Elephas maximus indicus: one gene and its partner. The protein of the gene in region 1 interacts with the protein of each later gene in a biochemical or structural test. Links are inferred from orthologs where the notes say so. Each region holds a gene or a part of one and is shown on either strand. Other genes may lie near its edges. The genes, in order: SYTL4 and RAB27A.

Region 1 (15,930 bases):
GAATATAATTTTTTCCAAAGAAGATACGCTAATGGCTAAAGAGCATATGAAAAGATGTTTAACATCATCAGTTATTAGGGAAATGAAAAGTAAAACCACAATGAGATACCACTTCACATACCCTGGAATGTCTATAATCAAAACGACGATGATAACAAGTGTTGGTCAGGATGTAGACAAATGGGAACTCTCATACATTGCTGATGGAAATGTAAAATGGTGTAGCCACTTCAGAAAGCAATCTGTTTGGTCCTCGAAAGGTTAAACATAGAATTACCATATGATTCAGCAATTCTATTCCTAGGTATATACCCAAGAGATCTGAAAACACATGTTCAAAAAGAAAGAAAGAAAGAAAAAAAACCCTCATAGCAGCATTATTCATTGCTTTTGTTGTTTTTAGGTGCCATTGAGTTGGTTCTGACTCATAGTGACCCCATGCACAACAGAACGAAACACTGCCCAGTCCTGCGACATAATCACAATTGTTGCTATATTTGAGCCCATTGTTGCAGCCACTTTATCAATCCATCTTGTTGAGGGTCTTCTTCTTTTTCTCTGACTAATTTACCAAACATGATGTCCTTATCCAGGGACTGGTCCTTCCTGATAACATGTCCAAAGTATGCGAGACAAAGTCTCGCCATCCTCGCTTCTAAGGAACATTCTGGCTGTATTTCTTTGTTCTTCTGGCAATCGCTGGTATTTAATATTCTTCGCCAATACCATAATTCAAATGCATCAATTCTTCTTCAGTCCTCCTTATTCATTGTCCAGCTTTCGCATGCATATTAGGTGATTGAAAATACCATGGCTTGGATCAGGTGCACCTCGAGTGACATCCTTGCTTTTTAATATTTTAAAGAGGTCTTTTGCAGCAGATTTGCCCGATGCAATACATCGTTTGATTTCTTGACTGCTGCTTCCATGGGTGCTGATTGTGGATCCAAGTAAAATGAAATCATTGACAACATCAGTCTTTTCTCCGTTTATCATGATGTTGCTTATTGGTCCAGTTGTGAGGACTTTTGTTTATGTTGAGGTGTAATCCCTACTGAAGGCTGTGGTCTTTGATCTTCATCAGTAAGTGCTTCAAGTCCTCTTCACTTTCAGCAGGCAAGGTTGTGTCATCTGTGTATCACAGGTTGTTAATGAGTCTTCCTCCAATCCTGATGCTGTGTTCTTTTTCACATAGTCCAGCTTCTTGGATATTTGTTCAGCATACAGATTGAATAAGTATGGTGAAAGAATACAACCCTGATGCACACCTTTCCTGATTTTAAACCACACAGTATCACCTTGTTCTGTTTGAACAACTGCCTCTTGGTCTATGTACAGGTTCCTCATGAGTACAATTAAGTGTTCTGGAATTCCCATTCTTTGCAATGTTATCCATAATTTGTTATGATCCACACAGACAAATGCCTTCATACAGTCATTAAAACATCTTTATGGTATTCTCTGCTTTCAGTCAAGATCCATCTGACATCAGCAATGATATCCCTCATTCCACATCCTCTTCTGAATGTGGCTTGAATTTCTGGCAGTTCCTTGACAATGTGCCGCTGCAAGCATGTTTTTAATTATCTTCAGCAAAATTTTACTTGTGTGTGATATTAATGATATTGTTTGATAATTTCTACATTTGGTCGTATCACCTTTCTTTGGAATGGGCACAAATATGGATCTCTTCCAGTCAGTTGGCCAAGTAGCTGTCTTTCAAATTTCTTGGCATAGATGAGTGAGCGCTTCCAGCACTGGATCCATGTCTCAAAACATCTTAATTGGTATTCCATCAATTCCTGGAGCCTTGTTTTTCACTGATGTCTTCAGTGCAGCTTGGACTTCTTCCTTTAGTGCCATCTTTTCTTGATCACAAGCTACCTCCTGAAATGGTTGTACATCAACCCATTCTTTTTGGTATGGTGATTCTATGTATTCCTTCCATCTTCTTTTGATGCTTCCTGCATTGATCAACATTTTGCCCAGAGAATCCTTCAATATTGCAACTCAAGGCTTGAATTTTTTCTTTAGTTCTTTCAGCTTGAGAAATGCTGAGCGTGTTCTTCCCTTTTGGTTTTCTAACTCCAGTACTCTGCACATCTCATTATAACACTTTTCTTTGCGTTCTGGGGCCAAGCTTTGAAATCTTCTGTTCAGCTGTTTTACTTCATCATTTCTTCCTTTCGCTTCAGCTATTCGACATTTAAGAGCAGCTTTCAGAGTCTCTTCTGACATCCATTTTGGTCTTTTCTTTCTTTCCTGTTTTTTTAATGGCCTCTTGCTTTCTTCATGTACGATGTCTTCAATGTCATTCCATAACTTGCCTGGTCTTTGGTCATTAGTGTTCAACATACCAAATCTATTCTTGAGATGGTCTTAAAATTCAGGCAGGATATTCTCAAGGTAGTACTTTGGCTCTCTTGGTCTTGTTTTAATTTTCTTCAGCTTCAACTTGAACTTGCATATGAGCAATTGATGGTCCGTTTTGCAGTCAGCCCCTGGCCTTGTTCTGACTAATGGTATTGAGCTTCTCCATTGACTCTTTCCACAGATGTAGTTGATTTGATTCTTGTATATCACATCCAACCAGGTCCACATGTATAGTCACTGTTTATGTTGTTGGAAAAAAGTATTTCCAATGAATAGGTCATCGGTCTTGCAAAATTCTATCATGCAGTCTCCAGCATTGTTTCTATCACAAAAGCCATATTTTCCACTACTGGTTCTTGTTCTTTGTTTCCAGCTTTTGCATTCCAATCATCAGTAATTATCAATGCATCTTGATTGCATGTTTGGTCAATTTCAGACTGCAGAAGCTGGTAAAAATCTTTAATTTCTTCATCTTTGACATTAGTCATTGGTGGGTAAATTTGAATAAGAGTAGTATTAACTGGTTTTCCTTGTAAGCGTATGGACATTATCCTATCACTGACAACATTGTACTTCAGCATAGATCTTGAAATGTTCTTTTTGACAATGAATGCAACACCATTCCTCTTCGAATTGTCATTCCTTGCATAGTACAACATATGATGATTGTCTAATTCAAAATGACCAGTATCAGTCCATTTCAGGTCACTAATGCCTAGGATATCTATCTTTAAGCATTCCATTTCATTTTTGACAGCTTCCAACTTTCCTAGATTCATTCTTCGTGTGTTGCACGTTCCTATTGTTAATGAGTGTTTGCAGCTGTTTCTTCTCATTTGGAGTCATGCCACATCAGCAAATGAAGGTCCTGAAAGTGTGACTCCATCATTAAGGTAGACTCTAATATGATGAGGCAGCTCTTCCCTGGTCCTATTTTGAGTGCCTTCCAACCTGAGGGGCTATCTTCCAGCACTATATGAGACAATGTTCTGCTGCTATTCATAAAGTTTTCACTGGCCTATTTTTTTAGAAGTAAATCGCCAGGCCCTTCTTCCTAGTCTGTCTTAGTCTGGAAGCTCCACTGAAACCTGTCCTGTTAGAAATACCGGTGGCATAGCTTCCAGCATCACAGCAACATGCAAGCTAACACAGTACAACAAAATGATAGGTAAGTGATGGGCATTATTCATGATAGCCAAAATGTTGACACAACCAAAATATCCATGAACTGATGAATGTATACACAAAATATGGCATATCCATAAACGAGTATTATTTAGTCACAAAAATGAAAAAAAAAGTAACATCACGAAAAATGGCAGAGTAGGGAACTTCAAAGAAACCCTGGTGGTGTAGTGGTTAAGCCCTTGGCTGGTAACCAAAAGGTCGGGGGTTTGAATCCACCAGTAGCTCTGTGGGAGAAAGGTTTTGCAGTCTGCTTCCATAAAGATTACAGTCTTGGAAACCCTATGGGGAAGTTCTCCTCTGTCCTATAGCGTAGCTATGAGTCGGAATCGACTTGATGGCAACAGGTTTTTTTTTTTTTTCTCCTCGAATGGCTGTCATTAGCTACTGGATAAAATACAAATTGTTTCAGATGACTCACAGGCCTCTGAAGATGTAGCCCCTGACGATCTTTCTAGCCTCAGCAATCATCACTTTTTTTGTTAAATTTTATTCTCTGGCTACACCTTATACATCCTTTGCATATACCAGTGTTTCTAGCCTTTTTCCTCTTGCTTATGCTATTATTCTGCTTAGAATGCCTTTCCTCCTTTTTGTCCTAGCTAATTTCTAATCATCCTTCCAGATTTAGAGAAGCATCCTCTTGCAGAGACCCTTCACTGACCCACCAGACTGCCATAAGTGGTCATCCTAGGTGCGCCCACACAGTCTGTGCATCTCTCTAGCTTTGCACTTCCCACAAGGTTCTGTAATTTTATGTTTGTGGTTTTCCTCCACCCCCATAAACTGTGAGCTCCTTGAGGACAAGGATCACCAAAAGCCCAGTGCCTAGTACCATATACTTTGTACTAGTAGATGCTCAATACCTATCTTTGAATGAGTGACCTTTTTTCAGTGTTTGTTCATCTTCTATCACATCTTCTTCTTATTAAAAAAAAAAAGAAAAACAAGCCCATTGCCATCAAGTTTGTTCTGACTCATAGCAACCCTATAGGACAGAGTAGAACTACCCCATAGGGTTTCTAAGGAGTGGCTGGTGTATTCGAACTTCTGACCTTTTGGTTAGCAGCCAAGCTCTTAACCACTGTGCCACCAGGGGTCCTCTTCCTCCTACAGCGACTCTACCCAATAGATGCCAGGAGCAACACCCCCAGCACTCCCAGTTGTGACAACCAAAAACATTTCCAGACATTTGGTATTGCCAAATGTCCTGGATTAAGAACCACTGGTCAAGATATACTAAGCATTCATTATATGCAAAGCATTTTAGTAGGTGCTCTTCCTATAGCACCTACTAAAATGCTTTGCATATAACAGGACTGGGCAGTGTTTTGTTCTGTTGTGCATAGGGTCACTGTGGGTCAAAACCAACTTGACAGCACCTAACAAGTATATCTTGACCAATGATTCTTAATCCAGGATACTTGGAAATATCTGGAGACATTTTTGTTTGTCACAACTGGGAGTGCTGGGAGTGTTGCTACTGTCATCCAGTGGGTAAAGGCCAAGGATTGTGCTAAACATCCCATGATGCACAGGACACAGCCCCCACAATAATGATTTGGTTTAAAATGTCAATAGTGCAGAGGTTGAGAAATTGTGATTTTGACTGACTGAGAGACTGAATCTACTTTTTACATCCTGTACTCACTGTAGATCACTAGTGCACTAAATTTGCTTTGTGAGGAAACCTGCTTTTATTTTTGTTTTGTTTTTACAAAAGCAAACTTACCTAACATGAGGTAAAGAGGGAGGGCCCCTGTATCTGGGATTTAAGACTTTGTCAATTAAAAAAGTATCTGATCAACAGAAAAACAGTTACATAAATTGCAATATGTTTATGCCCTGGAATGGTCTACAGCAGTGAAAATGAATAAATTAGAACTACATATATCAACATGGATAAATCTCATAAGCATAACGCTGAGTGAAAAAAGCAAATATCAGAAGCTACATACTATTTATATAAAGTGTTTAAAAACTACATTTTTTTTTTTACTTAGTGATAGACAAATATGTAGTAAATGTATAAAGACATGCATGGAAATGATGAAGGCCAGATCTGGGATGGTGAAAGCCTCAGATGGAGGATGCAAGAGGCTTAAATTGTATTGATATTGCCTTGTTTCTTAAGCTGGGTAGTGAGCGTGTCCTTGTTATAGTATTCTTTATAGATCCATGTATTTTTTGAAATAGTTAACACTTTTTTTTTTTTAAAAAAGTAATTGTTCAATAATGAGGCATCTTGTCAGCTAGGGCTGTGGAAAATCTCCGTCTTATTAGTTTGCACTAGCTAGAACTCCTTCAACGTGGCAAAATCGAACAACTCATTGAAACCAATCATTCACTATGGAACAGGAGTTTACATACTATACATAAGATGATAATCCATAAATTCCTGCTTACATTTTTGTACAAGGTAGTACCTGAGTTTGGTCACATTGGATCCCTCACAATATTTAGTATAAGAATTTGAGCATAGAATCCTTGTGACAGAGGAGGAGGATCAAACTGGGCAACAGTATGCAGAGCACAGAATGCATGTAAACCAGCCATTTCCTAACTTTGTTTTGGTTCATTGTTTCTGTTTGTCTCTCTCTGTGTATTTGTAACTGAGTCAGTGAGATTGTCTTAGAGAAGAGGCCAACCTTGGAGAGTGGGACACTGCATATGTAGAAAGAAGTAAAAGCTTAAAATAATATCTGGAAATTTTGCAATTTGCTGAGGAATAAGGAGGTTGGACTACGTGTTTTCTGAAGTCCCTTCTGGTTGAGGGTGTTACCAGCTTCCCTCAAGCACCCCAGGTGAAGTAGGAACAGAGAAATGCTTGGTCTGAGTTCCCACAGCCCAGGGCAAGACAAGAGCCTGGAACTTCCTCCCCTCCTTCCCGGTTTGGGACATGGAACACATTAAAAGCCCAGGGCTGAGCAAATGGGCCCCAAGGGCTGAATTGGCAAAACTAGACAGACAAAAAAAAAAAAAAAGGATTTGCTTTTTGAAATGGCTCTTCTACACTTCAGGCTGGGGGCAGGGAATTGAAGGGCTAAAGTAGGGAAGAGAACTCCAGGTAGAGCCTGGGAGTGGAATTCTACTCTTTAGTCTTTTAAAAATTAAAAATTTTCTTTTCTTTCTCTTTATAATATTAAAAAAATTATTTTTTCATATTATCAAAGCCATACAAGCTCATTATAAAAAACTTGAAAAATATATAGAAGCAGGAGGAAAACTAAAAATTCATTCAATTCCACCACCTAGAGACAGCCACTGTTAATATTTTGGCATATTTCCTACTAGTCTTTTTTTCTATGCATATCATCTTCCTCATTTTTGTTAATTGTTGTGATCATCTTATATATTAAATTTTGTATCTTACTTTCAATTAATATTATAGTATATGCATTTCCCTGTCATTGTGCACTATGTATAAAATGAGTTGTTTTTTTTTTTTGCTATATAGTATTGCGCTGTATGAAAATACTGTAATTAACTTAACTATTAAACCATTGGAGCCCTGGTGGCGTAGTGGTTAAGAGCTTTGGATGCTACCCAAAAGGTCGGCAGTTCAAATCCACCAGCTGCTCCTTGGAAACCCTATGGGGCAGTTCTACTCTGTCCTATAGGGTCGCTATGAGTTGGAATCAACTCCACAGCAATGGGTAGGTAGGTATTAAACCCTTAGGTTTTTTCCTAGTATTTTATTATTCTAAGGAATGCTGGGATTAACATCATTGTACAAAAATCTTGTGTACGTCTCTGTTTCCTTGGGACACATTCATTCATTCATTAAACAAATATTTATTGAGGGCCTACTATGAGCCAGGTAGTATACTAGCTGTCAGGTTTCGGCCTTGAGTGGCATGTTTTCATTAAGTGAGATAGCAAACGTCGGAGAAAGAGCAAATATAATAGAGAAGATGGTGGATTCAGTTTTGGATGTATTGACTTTGAGGTGCCTGCAAGACATCCAAGTGGAGGTGTCAAGAAAGCAGAGGTCAGTGAAGAGGTCTATGTAGAACAATATGATTACAGCTGTGGCCGTGTATATATTAATTAAAGCTAAGTGAGTGAAAAGATCATTTAGGGAGAGAGTATATGTAGCCTGAGAACCTCCAACTTTTAGAGGTCAGATAGCAGAAGTGGAACCTACAAAGGAGACTGAGGAGGGGACAAAGGGGTAGGACGTAAGGCAAAGGCGTATGGGGTCATAGATGCTACAGGAAGAGTTTCAAGGAGGAGGGAATGGTTAACAGTGTTAAATGCCATGGAGAGGTCAGCAAGACAAGGCCTGAAAGTACCCTATTGGTTGGATATCTTTTGCTGCACAGTTTCAGCAGAGTGTTGGGGAAGGAAGCCAGATTGCTGAGGGTTGAGAAATGAATGAGAAGGGAATGGAAATAGCAAATGTACCTGTAAAGTACATTTTCAATAAATTTGCGTATGAAAAGGAGCTGGAGAGTAGGAAGGATATTTTATTTTTTAAGATGGCAGAGACTTGAACACTGTGTAATTGCTGATGACAGATGAGAGAGACTTGAGCATTTAAGTGACTTAAGAGAGGGAAGGATGGAGGAGAGGAGATAGGGAGGGAGAGGAGGAGAATGAGAGAGAGAGAGTGAAATCTACAATTACTGGGTAGATAGGAACATTTTAAAGTCTACTGATATATATTGCTCCCGTGCTTTATTTTCTAAGTTTTTTTTTACTAACCTACACTCCAACCAGCAAGTATGAGAGACCTTGTTTGGTGGCCACTTTGTCATCATTAAGTGTTAAAATAGCAATAATATAAACCTTTGCCAAAGAATCTCATTTTTGTTCTTATTTGATTACTAGTGAGTTTAATATTTTAACCAGTTGTGTCCGTGTGTGTGAGTGTGAATTTCGTCTATGTTCTTTGCCCAACACGTTTGTATTTTAACCACTGTTACTTACCATAAAAGGCCGAAAGTCAAAGGATCAGAATGGTGTCACATTTTATCCTCCCGAATTATATAGTCCAGAGTCTTCGTATTCTTGGAAGTACGCGACAATTTGACAACTTTGGCTCAGCTGAGCGGAAGAGGTAGATGATTTTACCATCTAAGAAAGTGATCACAGATGTCTAATCTTAGACCCCTGTCCTCAGTCTCAAGGTCTTTTTTCCTAGCCTGGGAGGACACACTCTACAAGTGTCTTAAGACTCTGGCTCCCCAAGCTCCCCTTTAGGGGAGCGGTCCCCTACTTAGGAGCCCGGAGCGCTGTGCGGCCCCTTTAAGAGTGCAGCTCCTCCCCGCTCCAGGGAAAGTTGCAGCTTTTTCCGCCTCCCTGGAGGGTGAGAAGGGCCGGCCGCAAGAGCGGGGTGGCAATCTTCCAGGAGCTGGAGACCCTCCCCTGAATCCAGCACTGGGACGTCTCGCCTTCTCGCGGCACCTGTTGCAGGTGACAGGTAGGTCCGCAGCCAGCGGCCCTGAGCCCTCGGTCCGGTGCTCCTTCTGGGCCCCCAGCCCCTATTCGCTGCCAAAGCGTCCCCCCACCCCCATCTCAGGGACCTGCGTCCTTCCCTATCCCCCTTTGCTTCTCCCTGTCTATACTTGCCCCTAGCAGACCGCCTGTCTCCTCTCCCCTGTCCGCCCCTCCGGACCGCTCCCCCCACACGTTGAGTCCGATCTGCTTGGGGCGATCCCCTCCCACGAGTTTTTTTTTTTTCTCCCAGGCCTGTTCTGGTCCCCTTCCCCTGGCCCACCCGTCGCTAACGCGTGCTGTTGCCCTCTGGGCTCTGCCTCCTGGGGGTCTCCGCTCCCACCGAGTGTCCCAGCTTTTCCCGCCCGCCGGAGCCGGTGCCCCTCCCGCAAGCAAGCCTTAGGGGCGGGGGTAGGGCTGAGCTCCTAGCGGGAGCGGCGCCCTCGGAGGCGTCGAGTCACCCTTCCGTCGGTTCCTCCCGCAGCGCTCGGCCGTCTCTGCCCTACCCTGACTCCGGACCGCGGACCTCGCGGCGTCGGCTGCCCTCGCCTCGGCTTGTCCTCCGCAGGTAAAGGCTGGAGGCCAGTTGGCCCCGAGTCCTGCCTTAGTGGGCTCCCTCTGCGCTTGGGGCTGGGGACCCGGGCTGTGTGCTCTGGAGCCCAAGTGCTTTATCTTGCCAATCTTCAAGCAGGTTTCAGGAGTTTGCTCCTGGAGAAACGTTCCAGAGCCCTCAGAGTGGGACACAGAACGTTTCTGTCTCCTGTGATGGTTTGTAATGGGGCAGAAAAGGTGTTCCTCCAGTCCTTCACTTTGAATGAGATGGTTGGGAGTTTTTTGGTGGTGAAATCATTTGGTTTGAACGCTGGTGGCTTAAAAAGGCACCTGCTTTTCATTAACCAACCTTTTCTTTTTCTCCCTGCTTCTTCTGGACCAGAGGACCTAGCATTCCAGAATACTGCTTTTGGCAGGGTTGACCCTAGACCTTGTACATTTGTGGCAGAACTTAGTCTTCAGTATATCCTGGATCTCCTATATTTAACTGGCTTCTTTTCTGCTCTTGCACCCCTCACAAATCCATTAACATTAAGGCATTAATGATCTAATTTGTTTACCCCGATGATCTGTGGCTAGAGCAATGTTTAATGCAGAGGTGAGGCCCAGATGCAGTGTATGTAGATCTATAAGTACATGTATTTAGCACCAGCTGGAAATCTTAGTATATAAAAAAAAAAAAACACCAACTTGGCTTGTGAGGCTTTTCTTGGGCAGAGGATGAACATTTCTGGTAATACCATTTCAGGTGCCTCACTCCAGAACAGATGAGTGAAATGGAGGTTAGATGCCTCTTCTGGAGTAATTGGTCTGTGAGTGTATGTAGCATTCTGGTGAATGTTCTCTGAGTTTTTTCTCCTTAAAGGCTGTTACTAATAATGGTTGTTAGAATTCATTGAGCCAGGCACTGTGATAAGTTCTTTACATAACTATCTCATATAATCCTCAAGATAACTCTATGTGGTAGGCACTATAATTATAACCATATTATGATGAAAAGAAGACTCTGAGAGCTTGAGTACCTTGCCCCAAATCACCCAGCTGATGAGGGGCTGAGCTGGGCCATCTGACCACAGAGTTTGTGTTCCTATCCTCTGTCATACCACCTCTACCATCTTAGATGTTAGGAATGCTAATAGCTCGTGGGTGAAGACTGTGACTAAAAATTTTCCTTCCACACTGAAGCATAAATTTTGGTCCTTAACTTACCTTAGATACACTGTGGTGATTCTGGACCACTTATTTCACTGATTTATTTACCCACCTTGCTCCAAATGTGGGACCACTTGTCATGTTGCCACCATAAGCACACACCCCTGAGTGTACCCAGATGAATGAAACCTCCCAGGCTCTCAGCTCAGTAGTGATTGTCCTGAAGATAGGAGAAGGTAACCCTGGATTCTAGGGATGTGCTCCTGGATCAACATTTTCCTTTCCTGCTGGCGAGGGGAGAAACAAGGGTGCGGTAGGTGATAAGAACTTCCCAACAGCCAGGCCAGAGAGCCTGAGGGAGACTGTGTGCTTGTTTTATCCTGGGATGAATAGGTTACCTTAGGCAGGGAGCCCTGGTCCTGGTGCAGTGGTTAAGAGCTGTGGCTGATAACCAAAAGGTTGGTAGTTTGAATCCATCAGCTGCTCCTTGGAAACCCTATGGGCCAGTTCTACTCTGTCCTATAGGATCCGTCTATGAGTCAGAATCGACTTGATGGGTATGGTTAAAAAAAAAAAGCAGGGATAATATGATCCCATCTCTGGGTCTTTGCTCACATTGTTCCTTTTTTTTTTCTTCTTCCTGAAAAGCTAGCACGCCACCCCTTACTTACACCCAGTCATTAATTTGTATTCATCTCTCAAGATTTAGCTTCTCTGGAGGTTAGGGTTAGGCTTATCTAAAGTCACCTCCTTTGATACAATTTCACTGAACACCCAGGCAGAATTACTAGTTATGTCCTTCATGGTTCATGGTATATATGGTGTATCACCCACTTTTTCCGGCTTTCAGGTTCTTTGGTTGTATACTTTTACTGCTAAAAGTATTTGCTGCCCTCCAGTGGGGACTTGCATAATGGAGAAAGATGAAAGAAATGTTAGTTGAAGCAAAATAGCTGGGGTATGAGGCTTCTGAGTTAGGTAGTGCAATCAGGAAGTATGATTGGGTAAAAATTTTATCCCTTTTGGCTTTTGTACCCCTAGATAAGCCTTGTAAAAATTTTTATGGTTTCCTGTGTGATAGGGAGCCCTGATGGGTTTTGGTTTTTTTTTTTTTTGCTTGTGTGTGTGTCATATTTGGAAAACCGGAAACCCTGGTGTCATAGTGGTTAGGTGCTACAACTGCTAACCAAAGGGTTGGTAGTTCAAATCCACCAAAAATGTAAACACACTCCACGACTCAACATGGAGCCCTGGTGGCACAGTGGTTAAGAGCTCAGGCTGCTAACCAAAAGGTCAGCAGTTCGAATCCACCAGCCACTCCATGGAAACCATATGGGGCAGTTCTCCTCTGTCCTGTATGGTCACTATGAGTCAGAACCAAGTAGCCAGCAACAGGTTTGGTTTTTTGTTTTATGACTCAGCATGCTTCCATTAATGAAAACACATGGTATCAAAAAAACAGAAAGTAATTGGACCTTGAAAGGGTTTTTCTGTGTCCTAAAGCACTTTGTTTACACCTCAGTGGAGTCCTTAACACCTCTCCTAGTTGTTTTTTCACCTGAAAGGTTGTTACTTCTTTAAGGGCAAGGTCTGGATCTCAGAGCTCAATTTGTCCTAAGCACAAGGGATTAACAAATGTTTGTGCTAGGAACTGGGGACACAGTGCCCTAAAGGACCTGAGATCTGGTAAACTACAAAAGACACCTTCCTGAGGCACTTAAAATCCTGCAGCTAAGCGTTTGTACTTAAATGTCACCTTCTCAGTGAGACCTTTGCTGTTTTTAAAATTGCAACCCCTTCCGTGAACATTCGAGATCTCCCTTCCCTACCTTATTACTCTAATGTAGCATACTGTGTGTATTTTATTCATTTTTCTTATTGTCTGTCTCCTCCCACTATCACATAAACTTCATGTGGGCAGGGATTTCTGTCTGTTTTATTCACTGGTAGATCCCAGCACCCAGAAGACAGCCTGACACATCATAAAAAAAAAATTTTCTTTAGGTACTTACTAATATTTGTTAAATGAATTAATGAATGACATTACTGTTATATGAATTGGCACTCTTTTGTACTCTCCTGGACCTGAAACTAAGCTTACCCAGTTTATCGCCCTACAGCTGTGAGGGTACCCCACACCCAGTTCTCACATAGCTTTCCTTCTGTTGAGTTTTACTTTGAGATTGCATTCCTGATGACCACTTTGACCTAGTTGGCAGCGCTTCCTCTCTCCTATTTTAAAGCATAGGTCTCTGGTGGAAACTTCGAAAAGTGAAAATGCTGTGCTTCTCGACTCAACGGCACTGGGTCTTGTTGGTAGGAAGGGGTCTGTGCTGAAGCGGGCAGTGTGGATTATCAGATGTCTTGAGGCCTTTCACAGGCATTTGGTTTCTCAGTAGGATGCTGGAGAAAAGTTACTGTGTGGTCTGGGAAGTGAATAGCTGAAAAGACTCTAAAAACCAAAAAACCAAGACCGTTGCCTTTGAGTCGATTTTAACTCACAGTGACCCCAAGTGTTATAGAATAACATTGCTCCGTAGGGTTTTCTTGTCTGTCATCTTTACAGAAGCAGATTGCCAGGCCTTTCTTCCATGGCACTGCTGGGTGGGTTTGAGCTACCAATCTTTTGGTTAGCAGACATCACAAACTACTTGTGCCACCCAGGGACCTTATAAGATGCCACAGATTAGGTTTCTTGCCTCCCAATAAAGTCACTCTTACACCTTTAGGCATGAAGTGGTTATTGGGTTATGAACTTTACAGAAAAGCCATAGCTGAATGAATGCTACTTGTTTAGTTTGACAGTTTTTGTACTAGGATAATTACGCCGTGTGAGGAAACTACTAAGTAACATAAAAGAAAAAAAAATTACTCTTTTCTGTTTAAATGTTTTTAAATATTCAGAAAGAAAAAAGGCCCCAAACCAAACCAAACCAAACCAGCTGCTGTGGAGTTGATTCTGACTCATGGTGACCTCATGTGTGTCAGAGTAGAACTGCACTCTATAGGCTGTGTGTGTGTGTGTGTGTGCGCGCGTGTGCGTGCACGCGCGCACCTGCACTTTAGGTGAAAGTTTACAGAGCAAATTAGTTTCTCACTCAAAAAATTTATACACAAATTCTTTCGTGACATTGGTTGACATCTCCACAGTGTGTCAGCACTCTCCCCCTTTCTACCCCGGGTTCCCTGTTTCCATTTGTCCAGTTTTCGTGTCCCTTCCTGCCATCTCATCTTTGCTTTTGGGCAGGTGTTGTCCGTTTGGTTTCATAGACTTGATTGATCTAAGGAGCACGTTCCTCACCTGTGTTATTGTTTGTTTTCTAGGCCTCTCTAATCTTTGACAGAAAGGTGAACTCTGGGAGTGGCTTCAGTTCTGAGTTAGAAGGGTGTCTGGGGTCCCTAGTCTCAGGGGTTCCTAGTCTCAGGGGTTCCTCCAGTCTCTCTCAGACCAGTAAATCGGGTCTTTTTTGTGAATTCTGTTGTACATTTTTCTCCCGCTTTGTCCGGACCCTTTATTGTGATCACAGTCAGAGCAGTTGATGGTGGTAGGCAGGTTCCATAGGGTTTTCAAGGCTGTGACCTTTTGGAAGCAGACCACCAGGCCTTTCTTCTGAGGCACCTCTGGGTGGGTTCAAACCACCAATCTTGAATGGTTAGTAGCTGAGCACTTAACCATTCATGCCACCCAGGGACTACCCCCCACCAAAAAAAAAAAAAAGAAAAAAACCAGGCCAGAATCCCTCAAAAGACAGGCTTGGAAGGAGTTGGACCCTTCCTAAGGTGGTAAATATATGATTCTCCACCATTTGATAAACATTAATGTTTTTGAAATTTGAATTTGTTAAAAAACAAACAACAACAACAAAATTGTGCTTGGTTTCCTCTTCTGATAAATTTATCTCCCAAATTTGTTTAAAAAACAAACAACAACAACAAAATTCTGCTTAGTTTCGTCTTCTGATAAATTTTTCTCCTCTAAACATTGGAGTGACCCAGGGGTCTCAGTCTGTAGATTCTTCTCCATCCAAAATCTTCCCAGAGGATCTCATCCAGCTCCATGGCTTTAAATGATGTCTATCTATACACTGATCACTCCAAAATTTATGTCTCTAACCTAGGCCTTTTCTCTAAGTCCTAGACATATATCCAATAGCCTAGTCAGCATCTCTACTTGGATGCCAAATAGAGATCTCAAACATAATATAACTGAAACAGAACTCCTGATTCCCCCCCTGTCACTAGTCCCTCCCTTCATCCTCTCCCATCTCAGTGAAACGGCACTATCATCCATTCAGTTGCTCAGTCCAAGGACTGAGGGTCACCCTTGGTTTCTCTTATTCTCCCAACCCCACATCCAGTTCATCAGGAAGTGCTGTCAACATTATCTTCAAAATATATCATTTATTCTGCCACATGTCTCCATTTCCTCTGCATATCACCCACTCCAAGCAACCACAAGGCTGCAATGAACATTCTTGCACAGTGCTCAAGGATACACACACACACAAAAACACACACACACACACGTTTCTGTGGTATAGCTCCCTAGAAGGAGAAGTTCTCAGTGAAGGGATATGTACTTTTAAAAATTTGAGTAGGCACCGCCAGAGTGACACCCAAAAGAGTTTACACTCTCACCACTGAGAGTGCTTTCCCTCATATCCTTGCTGATGATGGACAGTCTTTTCAATTTTTGCCAACCTGATCGGTGAAAAATTGTATTTAACTGATTTACCCTTCATTTCTCTGACCATTAGTGAGGCTGAGCATCTTTTCATGTGTATTAGCTGTTTGTATTGTTCCTGAGACTTGCTCCTTCATATCCTTTGCACATTTTTCTTTTGGGTTATGTATTTAATTTGTTTGTAAGAACACTATATTTATTAGAGATGTTTACCTATTGCCTTTTCTATAGTACAAGTTTTTTTCTCTCTCTCTCCAGTCTGTCATGTGTCATAACTTTGTTCATGATGTGTACCCCTCTCATAATCAGATAAAACACACTATAAAACATTTAAAAAACATGATCATTAGATTTGGCAATTAGGAGGTCAGTGACAACATCAGTGCAGCAGGAGGAGACAAGGCAGATTGTAGAGGGGTGGAGAGTGATGAGGACCATTAGGGAATATGGTATACACTTTGAAAGAGGCTTGGCTATGGTGAGGAGAGAGTGTTTCTTATAGACAGTAGGGCGCAGGGGGCCAGAAAAGGTTGCTGTTGTTGTAA
Region 2 (16,521 bases), on another chromosome or scaffold:
AAAAAAAGAAACGGACAAGGTGACGATTATCTTTATATATATTGATATAGCAGTTTTGTATGAGCTTTTGAGACTTTTTTCTGTACACATGAAAAATGTATCTACCATGTGATTTTTTTTTTTTTTTTTACCATGTGATAGGCCTGGCTTTGCTTGGCTACGGGTAAACTGGGATTCTGCTCTGTTTCTTTTCATCCTGAGTCCTAGGCTGAAGGATCAGCTCCTGTTTAGGGTATGAAAGAAGCACATACCCAAGAGAAATGAAACTCTGTGTCCACACAAAAACTTGAACATGAATGTTCATTGCAGCATTATCCATAATAGCCACAAGGTGAAAACAACCCAAATGTCCATCAACAGATGAATGGATAAACAAAATGTGGTATATACACATAATGGACACTCTTTTCTCAGACTCCTTTTTGGACTTCCCCTGTCCATGCCTTAAATGCTGGGTGTTCTCTGGGTTCTGTACTGTGCCCCTTCTTTGTACTCTAGTATACTTTGTAGACTAGCTCATCAATCCTGTTACCCGATTAGGGTCCGTGCCCTGGAGCAGTTGAGCCAGTGAAAGGTACTCCGAGTCAGGGTGAGAAAGTTTACCAAGGGGATGTACACGTCACTGGGGACCAGCAGCAACACAGGCTGTCTCTGGAGTCCCAAAGAGCAGTTTTACATTAGAGCTTATATAGAATTTTACAAGGGTTAGAAGTGTCTGTAGTCAGCAGATGGCGTGGCCAGAGGAGTTATTCATTACAAGATAGTGACAAAAGACTATCAGACTAAAGAGACACGTGCTAGACATCTCTTAATCAGGCTAAAGATACACATATCAGACACCTGGGCTTTTATTTCCCTGTGAGGGGTTGTAAGTCAGGTGGTCGGACAGAACAAAGTTATTTGCATCAGATTAAAACAGAACAAAGTAGTTAACAGAAGTATGTGAAGGAGGAGGCAGGCAGAGGAAAGAGAAAAATTGATAGGTTCATCATGGCTTTAGTTATGTCAAGCACTCAGTTGCACATTTTGAAAAGGAGAAAACACTCTGGGGAGTATCAGGGTCTCAACTCTCACATCTACTCTTTGGATATTAGCTCCAGCACCTGTCTTCCATTCTTAAGGTCAGCCTATTCCACTGCATACTGTGATGTTCTGCTGGTGCTGGGGAGTCAAACTTTAAATGTTCTAAACTGAATTCGTTATGTCATATTTCACCCTTCCTACTTGTTGCAACTGGGTTTTCTTCCTGTTGCTCAGTGGTTCATAGTTGCCCACACCAGAAACCTGGGCATCTCCAGGGTCTCCTCCTTCTCCCTCACCCCCTACAGCCAAGTCCTCTTGACTCACTTTCTAAATGGTTCTGTCCATTCATCTCCATCCTCACAGCCACTACCTTAACCAGGTCTTTATTTTCCCTTGCTTGGATTTCAGCATACCCATTCTTAGCCTTATAACCACTAAGAAAATATGTTCCAAGTTCTAGTCATGGCTCTGTCACTTTTTAACTGTATGATCTTGGTCAGTTGTTTCATGGCTTTAATACTCAGTTTCCTCATCTGTGATACGGAGAGAATAGTACCTACTTTATAGGGCAGTTGTGAGAAGTAAATGAGGTTATGCATGCAAAATTCTTTGCATATTGGCTGACTCATCATAAGTCATCAATAAACATTAGCAATTATTTCTCTGGAGTTCTTTATAACTCAGACCCTACTTATTTTTCCAATTTCTTCTCTGATTACTTCCTTCCAATAAATTTTTCAGCTTTTTAGAACTTCTTTCAGTTGCTTCAATGTCTCATGCTTTCTCTTCCTAGAGTTCTTCACCCTCTCATCCTATTCATCCTTATTAATTTGTACATCGCCTTCTCTGGGAGGTCTTGATTTGGTGTCACCTCTTCGAGTTCCAGTAACACTTTAACTTTCCTTTTCAGGGCCCTAGGAGTTCTGGGTGGCACAGATGGTTAAGTACTTGACCACTAGCTGAAAGACTGACAATTTGAACCCAGCCAGAGGTGCCTTGGAAGACAGGCCTGCTGATCTGCGTCCAAAAGTTCACAGCCTTTAAAACCCTACGGAGCAGTTTTACTCTGCACGTCTGGGGTCGCCATGAGTTGGAATCCATGGCACGTAACAACAATCAGGGTCCTTATCTTACTGGAGTTGCCTGCTTACATGTTGATCTTCTACTGTATGACTGTAAGCTCCCTGAGGGCAACGACCAGTTTACCTTGTTCACTATTGCATCCCTAGTACCTAACACAGTGCCTGTATTATTGAATGAATGAGTGATGAATGGACTGCAGCATCACTGCCCATTTTCTGAAATCCTGTCTGGTTGACTCCTGGCCACAAGCCTTGCCTTGCTAGGGTGGTGGTGGGGGAGTGGCTGTCCCTGTATCACATCAGCCATTGGCAATTACTATATTGTTGGTCCCTCAGACCTTAGCTCTCAGTGACTCTCAGATCTCTTCCTCTAGACAGGAACGTGGTTACTCCTGTTAACCTCCACAAACAATGTGATGACTCTTCTCACACAGAAAACAGCCCTTGAAACCATCACCCTATGATGAATCCTGTTCTCTCTAACCCTAAGATCACTATTACGTTTGTCTGTAATACTGACAGTTTTACATGATCCATGCTATGTGTGAGGGGCCAGTCCCTGGAAAAGGACACCATGCTTGGTAAAGTGGGTCAGTGAAAGAGAGGAAGACCCTCAACGAGATGGATTGATGCAATATCTGCAACAATGAACTCAAGCACAGCAAAGATAATGAGGATGTCGCAGGAAGAGTATTTCTTTCTGTGGTACGCTGTTAGGTGGTGTCGAGTCGGTTCCGACTCATTGCGACCCTGTGCACAACAGAGTGAAACACTGCCAGTTCCTGCACCATCCTCACAATTATTGTTATGCTTGAGCTCGTTGTTGAAGCCAATGTGTCAGTCCACCTCACTGAGGGTCTTCCTCTTACCTGCTGACCCTGTACTCTGCCAAGCATGATGTCCCTCTCCAGGGACCGATCCCTCCTGACAACATGTCCAAAGTATGTAAGATGCAGTCTTGCCATCTTCGCTTCTAAGGAGCATTCTGGTTGCACTTCTTCCAAGACAGATTTGTTCATCCTTTTGGCAGTCCATGGTATATTCAATATTTTTTGCCAGCGCCACAATTCAAAGGCATCAATTCTCCTTCGATCTTCCTTATTCATTGCTCGGCTTTCCCATGCATATGATGCGATTAAAAATACCATGGCTTGGGTCAGGTGCACCTTAGTCTTCAAGGTGACATCTTTGCTTTTTAACACTTCCAAGAGGTCCTTTGCAGCAGATTTACCCAATGCAGTGCATCCTTTGCTTGCTTGACTGCTGCTTCCATGGCTGCAGTTGCCTGTTTTGAAAAGGAGAAAACATGCTGGGGAGTATTAGGGTCACAACTCTCAATCTACCCTTTGGGTATTAGACATAGGGTCACTATAAGTCGGAACAAACTCAACAGTACCTAACAACAGTAAATATGAGATTTGGTAAATTGGGTACATATCTGAGAAAATAGCACTTCCATAATGGGAACTGAGTAACTGTCGACCCAGAAGAACGATAGGTTTGGAATTTGTGGTGGAAGTTGACACATATCAACGGACGTTTTGTAAGAGAAGCTGGACTAAGGCTTCCAACCAATTCGTTTTGCCTATAGGGTTGCTCGGAAACCCTGGTGGTGTAGTGGATAAGCGCTATGGCTGCTAACCAAGAGGTTGGCTGTTCAGATCCACCAGGCACTCCTTGGAAACGTTATAGAGCAGTTCTACTCTGTCCTACTGGGTCGCTATGAGTCGGAATTGACTGCAATGGTTTTTTTTTTTTTTTTTTTTTTTTTAATATGGTCACTGTGAGTCCTGTGTATGTACAGGTTCTTCATGAGCACAATTAAGTGTTCTGGAATTTCCATTCTTTGCAGTATTATCCACAACTTGTTATGATCCACACAGTTGAATGCCTTAGTGTAGTCAATAAGACACAGGTAAACATCTTTCTGGAATTCTCTGCTTTCAGCCAAGATCCATCTGACATCAGCAGTAATATCCCTGGTTTCACATCCTCTTCTGAATCCGGCCTGAATTTCTGGCAGTTCCCTGTCGATATACTGAAAGATCTTCTGCAATATTTTACTTGCATGTGATATTAATGATATTGTTCGATAATTTCTGCATTTGGTTAGATCACCTTTCTTGGGAATAAGCATAAATACGGATCTCTTGAAGTCAGTTGGCCAGGTAGGTGTCCTCCAAATTTCATGGCATAGATGAGTGAGCAGTTTCAGAGCTGCATCTGTTTGTTGAAACTTCTTGATTGGTATTTTGTCAATTCCTGGAGCCCTGTTTTTCACTAATGCCTTCAGTGCAGCTTGGACTTCTTCCTTCAGTACCGTCAGTTCCTGATCACACGCTACCTCGCGAAACGGTTGAACATCGTCCAATTCTTTATACCATCTTCTTTTGATGCTTCCTGTATCGTTAAATATTTTCCCCATAGAATCCTTCACTATTGTAACTCGAGGTTTCAATTTTTTCTTCAGCTCTTTCAGCTTGAGAAATTCCTGGTGTGTTCTTCCCTTTTGGTTTTCTATCTCCAGCTCTTTGCACATGTCATTATAATACTTGACTTTGTCTTCTTGAGCTACCCTTTGAAATCTTCTGTTCACTTCTTTTACTTCATCATTTCTTCCTTTTGCTTTAGCTATTCGACATTCAAGAGCAAGTTTCAGAGTCTCTTACATCTATTCTGGTCTTTTCTTTCTTTCCTGTCTTTTTAATGACCTCTTGCTTTCTTCATGTATGATGTCCTTGCTCAATTTGTCTGGTCTTTGGCCATTAGTGTTCAACACATTGAATCTATTCTTGAAATGGTCTCTAAATTCAGGTGGGATATACTGAAGTTTGTACTTTGGCTCTTGTGGACTTGTTCTAATTTTCTTTAGTTTCAGCTTGAACTTGCATATGAGCAATTGATGGTCTGTTCCACAGTTGGCCCCAGGCCTTGTTCTGACCAGTGATACTGAGTTTTTCCGTCGTCTCTTTCCACAGATGTAGTCAGTTTGATTCCTGTGTATTCCATCTGGTGAGGTCCATGTGTATAGTTGCTGTTTATGTTGGTGAAAGAAGGTATTTGCAGTGAAGAAGTCATTGGTCTTGCAAAATTCTGTCATGCAATCTCCAGCATTATTCCTGTCACCAAAGCCATATCTCCAACTACTGATCCTTCTTCTTTGTTTCCAACTTTCACATTCCAATCGCCAGTAATTATCAATGCATCCTGACTATATGTTTCATCAATTTCAGATTGCACAAGCTGATAAAAATCTTCAATTGCTTCATCTTTGGCCTTAGTGGTTGGTGCGTAAATTTGAATAATAGTTGAATTAACTGGTTTTCCTTGTAGGCATTTGGGTATTATCCTATCACTGACAGTGTTGTACTTCAGGATAGATCTTGAAATGTTCTTTTTAACAGTGAATGCAGCGCCATTTCTCTTCAAATTGTCATTCCTGGCGTAGTAGACTATATGATTGTCTGATTCAAAATGGCCAATACCAGTCCATTTCAGCTCACTAATGCCTAGGATATTAATGTTTATGCGTTCCATTTCATTTTTGACAATTTCCGATTTTCCTAGATTCATACTTCGCACATTCCAGGTTCCGATTATTAATGGATGTTTGCAGCTGTTTCTTCTCATTTTGAGTCGTGCCACATCAGCAAGTGAAGGTCCTGAAAGCTCTACTCCATCCACGTCATTAAGGTCAACTCTACTTTGAGGAGGCAGCTCTTCCCTAGTCATCTTTTGAGTGCCTTCCAACCTGGGGGGCTCATCATCCAGCACTATATCACACAATGTTCTGCTGCTATTCATAAGGTTTTCACTGGCTAATGCTTTTCAGAAGTAGACTGCTGGGTCGTCTTCCTAGTCTGTCTTAGTCTGGAAGCTCAGCTGAAACCTGTCTACCATGGGTGACCCTACTGGTATCTGAATACCGGTGGCATAGCTTTCAGCATCACAGCAACGTGCAAGACCCCACAGTACAGCAAATTGACAGAGATGTGTTTGGACAGAAAAAAGGGATACTGCGTGGTTTAAAGTCAGGAAAGATGTGCGTCAGGATTGTATCCTTTCACCATACCTATTCAATCTGTATGCAGAGGAAATAATCCAAGAAGCTGGACTATATGAAGAAGAACAGGGCATCTGGATTGGTGGAAGACTCATCAACAACCCGCATTATGCAGATGACACAACTTTGCTGAAAGTGAAGAGGACTTGAAGCACTTACTGATCAAGAAAGATTAAAGAGCACAGCCTTCATTATGGATTGCGCCTCAACATAAAGAAAACAAAAATCCTCACAACTGGACCAATAAGCAGCATCATGATAAGTGGCGAAAAGATTGAAGTTGTCAAGGATTTCATTTTGCTTGGATCCACAGTCAACACCCATGGAAGCAGCAGCCAAGAAATCAAACGACACATTGCATTGGGCAAAGCTGCTGCAAAAGACCTCTTTAAAGTGTTGAAAAGCAAAGATGTCACCTTGAAGACTAAGGTGCACCTGACCCAAGCCACGGTATACATCATATGCATGTGAAAGCTTGAGGATGAATAAGGAAGACAGAAGAATTGATGCCTTTAAATACTGAATATACCATAGACTGCCAAAAGGATGAACAAATCTGTCTTGGAAGAAGTACAACCAGAATGCTCCTTAGACGCAAGGATGGTAAGACTGAGTCTTACATACTTTGGACATGTTGTCAGGAGGGATCAGTCCCTGGAGAAGGACATCATGCTTGGTCAGCGAGAAAGAGGAAGACCCTCAAGGAGATGGATTGATACAGTGACTGCAACAATGGGCTCAAGCGTAACAAAGATTGTGGGCGAGGCGCAGGACTGGGCAGTGTTTGCTTCTGTTGTACATAGGGTCGCTATTAGTAGGAACCAAGTGTAAGGCACCTAACAACAGCAACAACATGAATTGGAATCAACCGAGGGCCACAGGTTTGGCTTTGTTTTTAAGAAGGAATTATTTGGTTCAGAGGTGCTTTGCCTGTGAGGCCAGGAGGTGGGCTCAGTAGTCAGTGTTCAGACCTCTGGGCTACTGGAGGAGGAGCTTGGCTTCCTCTGGCTGGGAACCAGGTGGTCTGACCTGCTTCACAGCTACAGGTCTGGGAGGGTGGGGGCCTGCAGGCTCCCCCCCACAAAGGCCGGCACCGAGAGAAAGAAGCCGCTGGGTGGCAGCAAAGGCTCACAGGTTCCTCCTGTGTGCGGAGGCTCTAGGTCTCTTGCTTCTGTAATTGCTCTAACAGTTTTAGAAATTGAGTGGTTTTAGAATCCGAGTTAGATGGTGTGAGGAGAGACCCCGTTAGTTACTTCCTCCTAGAATTATATTTTTTCCTGACAAAATTTTGCTTCGTTATTCCTGTGGCTGTCCCCGGCTTGGGGAAGGCCATACCCAGCCTGAGCCGCGTGGGGAGCTGCAGGGCGGGAGGGACAGTGGCCGGTTGGCACCTCTGGCTACTAGGGTGCTGGCCCCAGCCCGACGCGCTGAAAACACCTAGAAAATGGCTTTGGGGAGGAGTTCCGCGAGAGTCACTGAGTACCTTGTAAATGTCGCCCCTTGTTCTCAAAACCGATCCCTGCCCCGGCTGACCTTGCACGCCTTCCAGAAAAGGTCAGTGGAGACCTGGCTTGGGACAAATGTGGCGAACAGGGTCCTCTCGTGGCTCGTAAGAGGACCCCGAGGTGGAGTCCTTTGCTGCTTCCTCGGCAGAGTGTCCCTGGGCAGGTGCCGCCTGCCCCGCGAGGAGGGCGCGGGCAGAGGACCTTCAGGGGCGGATAACCCGTGAGCGAGGTACCACGGGCTTACGTGTGCGTACTTACTAATCTGTAGTGCACAGCTTCACCTGTTTTTCACCATACCTTTAAAACCCATGTGAAATGGCGCACCTCGGGTTAGTAAGTACGCACACGTAAGCCCCTGTGTACCTCGCTTCCTGTTCCTCCGTCCAGGTCCCTCTCCCGGCCCAGAGTCGGCGGGGTGCCCCCAGAGGTGACGGGAGGAAGCGGGAGGTGGAAGGAAGAGGAGGTCCCGCCCCACCTCGCTCTCCTTTACGGGAAGTGATGTGGGGCCAGACGGAAAATACCCGCCAACTACCCAAAATCGGGGGACGCGGCTGCCGGAGACAGAGGCGCACTGGACGGCGGCCGAGCCAGGTGAGCCAGGTGGGGGCGCTGGGCAGGGAGGCGGGCTTGGGGCTGGAGGCTGTCACCTCTTTTCGCTCCTGGGGATTTGATCCCTCCAGAAAAGTTGCTTTGCGTCTCCCGGGCCAGCGGACAGAGCCCAGCGGTGACCACCGCCGGGGTGGCGGGGGGTCAGCCGGGGCGAGGGCGCAGTCCCAGCTCGGGCGGGGTCTGCGATCGCTTCCAGGTGGGCATCCAGGTGCAAGGGACCCCTGGGGGGTAAGGAAACGTCACCGGTGGGAGAGGAGGAGGTCCAGGTTTTTCCTAACCGCTCACCTTCTTTCTCCTTTTTCTTTTTTCAGTTTAATTATTTAACGTCTTTACACTTTTGTTGGTTGGTAAACGTCGGGGCGGCAAGCTAGCTGGGTGAAGTAGTTGCTCTTTTTCCTGTCAGTCCTGCAGAAAACCCTACCAGGCAGCCAGGCCTTGGGTCTGGACTCACAGTAGGCTGATGTGCTGACAGGTTTCAGTAATTATTGCCAAAGCCTTGTCTGTGTCCCCATAGACCACCGATTAAGCAAAGTAAGGCCCGAAGTGAAGGAAACCTGTGAGTCCTTGACTTCTCCGCCTGTCGGTCCCTGCTGGCCAGCTGGCCCACGTGGCCCCCAAGCTTGTGCTGCAGGAGCCTCTTCTTTACCAGGTGCGGGCTAACAGCTGTTCTTCCTTCCTGGATGAATTGTCACTTGGACTGTGGAAGTTTTAGGGTGGGGGAGGGAGTGAACATATGCCATACTATTATTGCTGACTTATTTTGTTGGTGCTCTACTACTCCTGTTCCTTCTTTTCAGCTCTCCTAAGAATTTGCTGTAGTGGGAAAAGACCCTGATATTAGCCTTAACGCAGTCTGCAAAACAGGATTTCTGCAGATGATTAGAAATGAAGAAGGGCTGTTACTAAAAAGCTTAGAGGACCTGACTGAGCGCCGTTCTTTTCTGTATTTATGTTGCCTGCCTGCTTGTATCCTCCCTCTTCGTATTTTTTCCTTCTTTTTTAACTTTCTGTGGCATGCCTTAGTTTTTAAGTTTGATGAGGTTCTGTTGATCTGTTTTTTTCTTTTGTTACTTGTGCTTTTGGTGGCATATCTAAGAAGCCATTGCCTAATTCAAAGTCAGAAGATTTGCACTATGTTTTCTAGGTGTTTTGTAACTTTAGCTACTACGTTTAAGTCTTTAATCCATTTTGAGTTAATTTTTGCATATGGTGTGAGGTAGGAGTCCAACTTTATTCTGATTCATGTGGCTATCCAGCTGTCCCCTCACCGTTTTGTTGAAAAGGCTGTTTTTTCCTGCATTGTATTGTCTTGGCACCCTTGTCGAGACTCAGTTGAGGGTAAATGTGAGGGTATTTCTGCACTCTCAGTTCTGTTCCTTTGATCCGTGTGCTTATCCTGTGCTGGTAGCACGCTGTCTGGATTGCTCTTGGTTTGTGGTTCATTTTGAACTTGGGAAGTGTGAGTCCTCCAAATTTGCTCTTCTTTTTCAAGATCGTTGTGGCTGTTTTGAATCCCGTGAGTTTCCATATGAATTTAGAACCAGCTTGGCAATTTCTGCTCCCTTGGTTCTAGATCAGATACAGGAATTTTGAAGTAAGTAGCAATCTCTAGGAACTGGACTCTTAATCTTCCCCTCTGTAGTCTGCTTTTCCCTTTGTATTCTCCATCTCAGTAAATGGCAAATTCTCTCTTGCTCAGGCTAAACGTCCTGGACCCATCCTTCATTCCATTCTTTCTGTCATACCCCTCATCTAATCCCTCAGCAAGTCCTATTGCTTCTACCTTGAGGATGTATCTAGAACATAACCATTTCTCACCACTCCCATTGCTTTTATAAAGCTCATGCCATCTCTGTCACCTGGGTAATTATTGCAAGGCTCCTAAAGGGCCTCCCTACTTCCACTCTGGCCACTCTACACTGCAGCCAGACTGAGCCTTTTAATACTTAAATCAGTAATGCCACCCATACTCTGTTCAATATTCTCCAGTAGCTTGTTATCTCAGAGGAGAAAAGCAGTCCTCATCATGGCCAACCCCTCACGTGGTGTGTGGCTCTCTCTGTTTTAACCTTCTGTCACTCTTCCCTCTGCTTACTCTGCTCCACTCACAATGGCTTTCTTGCAGTTCCTTGAGCATGCATTCGCCTCAGGATTTTGCACTTGCTGTTCCCGCTGCCTGGAATGCTGTTCCCTCAAATGCATGGCTTTTTCACTTATTTCATTAAGATCAAAAGTAATTTCTTTGAAGAGGCCTTGGCTATCTGAAACAGCATCACTCTCCCATTACTTTTTGCCGCCTTATCTTGCCTTGTTTTTCTTCCGAATAGAACACTAACTGTCATGAGAAGCACACAGATAGATAGGTGGGTGGGTGGATGGATGAATGATGACAGATAGATAGATCGATAGTACTGTGTATATCCTAATGCTAGAATATAAGCTCCACGAAGGCCAGGAATTCGTCCCTGTGGTGTGGTGTCCCTAGCACTTAGAATGCTTTCTCACACATTGCACTCAATAAATGAATGAAAAGGGAATGGAGGACTGAGAAATGAGGATCACCGTACTGTTTTTTTTCTCACTAGTCCTTCTCACTTTATCTGTAAGAGAAATGGCCTCAGATATGTCAGTGTCTCTGAAGCCTTTCTTCTTCTAGCATCTTATTTCCCCCAAGATAACAGCCTTACGCTCCTTGGAGAGGGAAAGGTCAAATGAGTACAAAGATGAAGGCTTTTTGGTCTTTTTCCTGGTGGCAGCAGGGAGCCCTCTGCTTTGCAGCCTGGGCTGACTGGACAGGGCCGTGCAGCACCCGTCTCTGGTGCTTTGGCCTCTTGTGCTGATCGAGGCAGAGAGTGAGGTTCTTTGAAGTTAAAGGAAATAGAAATTCATTTCTTACTGAATATCTTGCAGTATAGTCATTAATCTTTCTCTGGTTTTTAACAGAAATTGCTAACTCTGAGCCTGATTTCGGCATTTAATTACACACTGCTTTGGACTGTCAACTGTTAGGTATATGTTTGTCCATGGCTAGATTTTAACATTTTGGAGGCAGAACATGACTTCAGCTTATTTTTGAGTCTTATCTTGCAAGAAATCTTGGACAAAATAAGTGTTCAGTAAACTCTGAATGTATCGATAAGTTAATGGGTAAACCTGGAGTTTATTTTCATCGTTGGAAACTTCTAGCACGTATATTTAATTTCTCTTAGTCACTAGCTGCCAGTATCTTGTTATAGTCCACCATCCTGCCACTGACGAAAGGACGGCATTGCTGCAGTTGAGTGTGGTTTCCCACAGCGCTTTCCCAGTGAGAATTAAATTAATTGGCTTAGGGAATATGGTAATTAACTCTCTACGTTATTTTTTATTTATTTTTATTTTATCCTATTTTTTTATTGAACTTTAGGTGAAGGTTTACAGAACAAACTAGTTTCTCATCAGTCAGTACATACGTTGTTGTATGACATTGGTTAAGAACCCCACCACGTGTTAACACTCTCCCTTCTCAACCCGGGGTTCCCTATTACCAGCTTTCCTGTTCCCTCCTACTTTATAGTCCCCACCCCAGGGCTGGTGTTCCCCTTTAGTCTTATTTTGTTCCATGGGCCTGTTCAATCTTTGGCTGAAGGGTAAGCCTCAGGAGTGGCCTCATTACTGAGCTGAAAGGGTGTTCAGGGGCCATACTCTCAGGGTTTCTCCAGTCTCTGTCAGGCCAGCAAGCCTGGTGTTTCTTCCTTAGAATTTTGTTCTGCATTTTTCTCTAGCTCTGTCCGGGACCCTTTCTTGTGATCCCTGTGAGAGCAGTCAGTGGTGGTAGCCGAGCACCATTTAATTATACAGGACTCAGTCTGGTGTAGGCTGTGGTAGTTGTGGTCCATTAGTCCTTTGGACTAATCTTTCCCTTGTGTCTTTAGTTTTCTTCATTCTTCCTTGCTCCCGAAGGGGTGAGACCAGTGGAGTATCCTGGCGGCCACTCATAGGCTTTTAAGACCCCAGGTGTTACTTGCCAAAGTAGAATGTGGAACATTTTCTTTATGAACTCTGTTATATCAGTTGAGCTAGATGTTCCCTGAGACCATGGTCCCCACAGCCCTCAGCCCAGCAATTTGGTCCCTCGGGGAATTTGGATGTGTCTATAAAAAAAAATTTTTTTTTTTTTATGGAGCTACCATGGAAACCCTGGTGGTGTAGTGGTTAAGTGCTACGGCTGCTAACAAAAGGGTCGGCAGTTCGAATCCGCCAGGCGCTCCTTGGAAACTGTATGGGGCAGTTCTATCCTGTCCTATAGGGTCGCTATGAGTCAGAATCGACTCGATGGCACTGGGTTTGGTTTTGGTTTTACAGAGCTACCATGGCCCTGCCTTGTACAGGCTGTGCTGGCTTCCCCTGTATTGTGCACTGTCTTAACCTTCACCAAAATTGCCATTTATCTATTGTTTTTCCATCCCCACCCTTGCCCTCTCTCATAACCATCAAAGATTGCTTCTTTTTGTATATAAACCTTTTCATGAGTTCTTACAGTAATGGTCACATACGATATTTGACCTTTCGTGAATGACTTATTTTACTCAGCATAATGCCCTCCACATTCATCCATGTTATAAGATGCTTCACAGATTCACCACTGTTCTTTATCGTTGTGTAATACTCCATTGTGTATAGGTACCGCAATTTGTTTATCCATTCATCTGTTGATGGGCATCTAGGTTGTTTCCGTCTTTTTGCTTTTGTGAACAGTGCTGCAGTGAACATGGGTGTGCATCTGTCTATTTGTGTGATGACTCTTATTTCTCGAGGATATATTCTTAGGAGTGGGATTGCTAGATCATATGGTATCTATGTTATTTTTTAAACTGAATCTGCCTTCTGATGTTTTTTAAGCTTGTCTTGGAATGTGCCTTATTACAAAATATGAAAGAATTGTTCTTACACATATGTGTGTGTGTAATGTTCTCCTAAGAAATTAATAGGTCTAATTCCTTCTGAAAAATAAAACGGGGTTTGCAGGTTTAAAGTCTGAGCTCCTAAGAAGCAAAATTGTCTTGCCGTTGTTAAAACAAGATGCGTTTCTGAAGAGAGTGGTTCTCCCTCCCGCAGCCTTTGCTTTTTATGACCAGTGCAGGTTTTGCTGGAGCCATGTTTGTTGCTCTGCCTCTTGCTCGGGAGATGTGAGTTTATGATCTGGTTTCCCTTAAGCTGATTACCTTGGGAGTAGCATGAACACTGAGTTGGAGGCAGGGATAAAGGTTTTTAATTCACTTTACGCTCACCGCATGAGGCGTGTGGAATAGTGAGCACCCAGCTTGTCTTGGCCTCACTGTCTGGTCAGGCTGTACTCTCGTGGGCACACCATGTTCACTTTCCCGTACAACTGAGGTCTGGTAACACTCCTGTCTTACCTACTGTCAAGTAAAGTTAGATGCCTAACTTGCTCAAGAGGAATGCTGGAAGATTTATTCCTCTTTTCCTGCTTTTTTTTTTTTTTTGCCTCTGTCTGTGTTACCCTTGAGCCCAAAGAAGGCCTCTCATTTGGTGCCTCAGCCATGCACCACTAAAGTATATGGAACCAGACTTTTTGGCTCTTAAAACTGAACGTTTGATGTGGGGTCAGAGGCAGGGTTGCCAGATTTACCAAATTAAGAAAAAGTTAAATTTGCATTTAGATAAACAGCAAATTTTTTTTTTCACTATTAGTATGTCCCATGCAGTATTTGGGGCATACTTACACTAACAAAATATGCAATATTTGAGACACAATTATGTTAAAAATACTCATCGTTTGAATTGCAAATTTAACTGGACGTCCTGTATTTTATCGGGCAACCCTAGTCGGCGGTCAGGTTTGTGCACAGGAAATGCATTAATTGTGATAACGTCTGAAGAATGACCAAGCATTGTATATTCGTCTCAAGGAAGGAAGGAGAGGACTTGTCAACTCAGGGAGTATTAAAACTAGAAGGAAGTTTGAGAGCATTTAGTTTTATGTCTTTTATAGTTAAGGACATTCACATCCAGAGAGGTTAAGCCACTTGGCCAAAGCCACACAGAGGTGGTGGCAGAGCTAGAACTAGAGCTCCGGGTCCAGTGGTGGGTCTGCTGTGCTGACTTTTCCCTTAGGAGAGCAGGTGCAAGTTGCTTGTGTTTCAGTGTTAACCCTTAGCCACTCCGTTGTCATCCACCTGTGGTCACTTCTGTGCTGTCCTTCGTCCCCCATGTGCCAGACAAAGCCATTCTTGTGAGACACCTTTGGTTTTCCTGACTGCCACGTGGCTGTTGAAAGACACCGTTTGGATGTATTCCTTGTTATGATGCCAGAAGCTTGTAGTTCAATGTGTTTTTACTTGTTTTAAAGTCTTACTAATATTTTAGTTCCTTTTTCAGTTTTTATTACAAGGTTCTTTCTTTAAGTAGACATACCAAGAGTAATTCTACGACAATCGAATGCTGTCTTATCGAAAGCCTGCTTGCTTTGAGCAGCCTAACCAAAAACAAAAAAACAAACCCTTTGCCTGTCAAGTCGATTCCGACTCATAGTGACTGTATAGGACAGACTAGACCTGCCCCATAGGGTTTCCAAGGAGCAGCTGGTGGATTCAAACTGCCGATGTTTTGGTCAGCAGCCAAGCTCTTTAACCACTGTGCCACCAGGGGTCCTTGAACAGTCTACCCCTCTAAAATTCCCTTGTATTTTAATAAGGTAAATATGGAAGATATATGGCAAGTATCAAAATAGATAGGTAGGTATATATGACTTGTCCCTTAGAAATGTGTCCTTTTTAAACACTGGATTGTTTTACTGTAATTATTTTTAAAATTCTATTTATTTTGCTGTTGTTGTTGTTGTAAATATACACATCAAAACATACACCAATTCAACAGTTTCTACATGTCCAATTCCGTGACATTGACTATATTCTTTGATTTGTGCAACCATTCTCACCCTCCTTTTCTGTGTTGTTCCTTCTCCATTAACAGAGGCTTGTTGCCCCCTAACCTTCCATTTGATCTTTCCAGTTGCTGTTGTCCGTTTGATCCCATAAACATAGTTCTTGAAAGAGCATCATTATCAGCTTAAATGAGCAAATATTAAGGCAGACATTCTTTACTAGTTAAGCTAAACTATTGTTTAGTTTTAAGAAAACTTCAGGGGATATTTTTGGTTAAAGCTTTAAAGATTACCTCAGGGCAATAGTTTCAGTTTCATTATTATTATTTTTTAAAGTTATTTGTGCATATTTAAGAAAGCATTCTTGAAAATGAACATGCTTTTTCTACCTGACAACTAGAATACCAAATTTCAAAGCCACTGATCTTGTTTTTTTCACAGCTTCGTTGGTTAATTCATCTAAAGCCCTACCATCTGTCAGGTCAAAGCATAATAATGAAATTGGTTTCCAAGAGACTGAAGAATCTGTTGGTTCTTATTTCCTGTTGCTCATCTACCCAGCCCTCAGAGCATGATCCCACCACAGAGGAGGGTGGCCAGGTCCTAGCTGAGTATGGCTATAAACTTATCTCTTGTGTGTTCTATCATTAAAAACAAGGAAAAGGTCTCAATCAGCTAGTTAAATATGATCGTAGTTAAACTTGATGTACTAGCCCTATTATGGGGGCAAATGAGACATACTGAAATAGATCATTACTTAAATGTTCATTTGAGCAAGGTATGAAAATACCTCGGCATTTATTAATATAATCCATGGCTATGGTTGCAATTTCTGTTTCTTGCTGTGTGTGTTTAATTTTTGGAATGGATATCACCACTGCAAGGGAGTGACCCCAGGAACGAGTGCCGAGGTCTGGCCGACCTAGGAAAGATGAGGTATGGTCTCTCCAGTCAGATACTGGAGACCAAATGTGACCAAGCAAGCTGCTGGCTGTCCTTGGCTTGGCTTCTCTTGTAGGGATAAGGCCAGCTGTCCACACTTCTCTCTGTTTTAGGCACAGAGGACCAGGAAGTGGGTTATGGTATTTCCTTAGGGAGTGATCCACCCCTGTGTACCAGAGCTCCTACTCAAAGGTGGAGGAACCAACAGTACCAGAATCAGGAGGCCGGTTTTTAGTCTCAGTATTGCTGATAATTAATTATGTGATATTACACGTTTGGTTCTCAATCGGGGGCAACCCCTCCACCCACTCCCCCCCGCCGAGGACATCTGGCAATGTCTGGAGACATTTTGGGCCACATAACTTGGAAGTTACTACTAGCACCTAGCGGGTAGAGGCCAGGATGCTGCTA

What was found.
Region 2: the proteins of SYTL4 (region 1) and RAB27A form a complex in vitro, tested with the Homo sapiens proteins (2 studies listed by BioGRID). The link is inferred for Elephas maximus indicus from reciprocal best matches to the Homo sapiens genes SYTL4 and RAB27A.

What each region holds. Positions count from the first base shown.
Region 1 is NC_064846.1:57,576,348-57,592,277, forward strand, and holds the start of SYTL4 (synaptotagmin-like protein 4), read left to right. Parts: upstream 1-8,854; 5' UTR 8,855-8,983; intron 8,984-9,481; 5' UTR 9,482-9,565; intron 9,566-15,930. UniProt on the Homo sapiens protein: Modulates exocytosis of dense-core granules and secretion of hormones in the pancreas and the pituitary. Interacts with vesicles containing negatively charged phospholipids in a Ca(2+)-independent manner.
Region 2 is NC_064831.1:45,760,210-45,776,730, reverse strand, and holds the start of RAB27A (ras-related protein Rab-27A), read left to right. Parts: upstream 1-8,175; 5' UTR 8,176-8,264; intron 8,265-16,521. UniProt on the Homo sapiens protein: Small GTPase which cycles between active GTP-bound and inactive GDP-bound states. In its active state, binds to a variety of effector proteins to regulate homeostasis of late endocytic pathway, including endosomal positioning, maturation and secretion.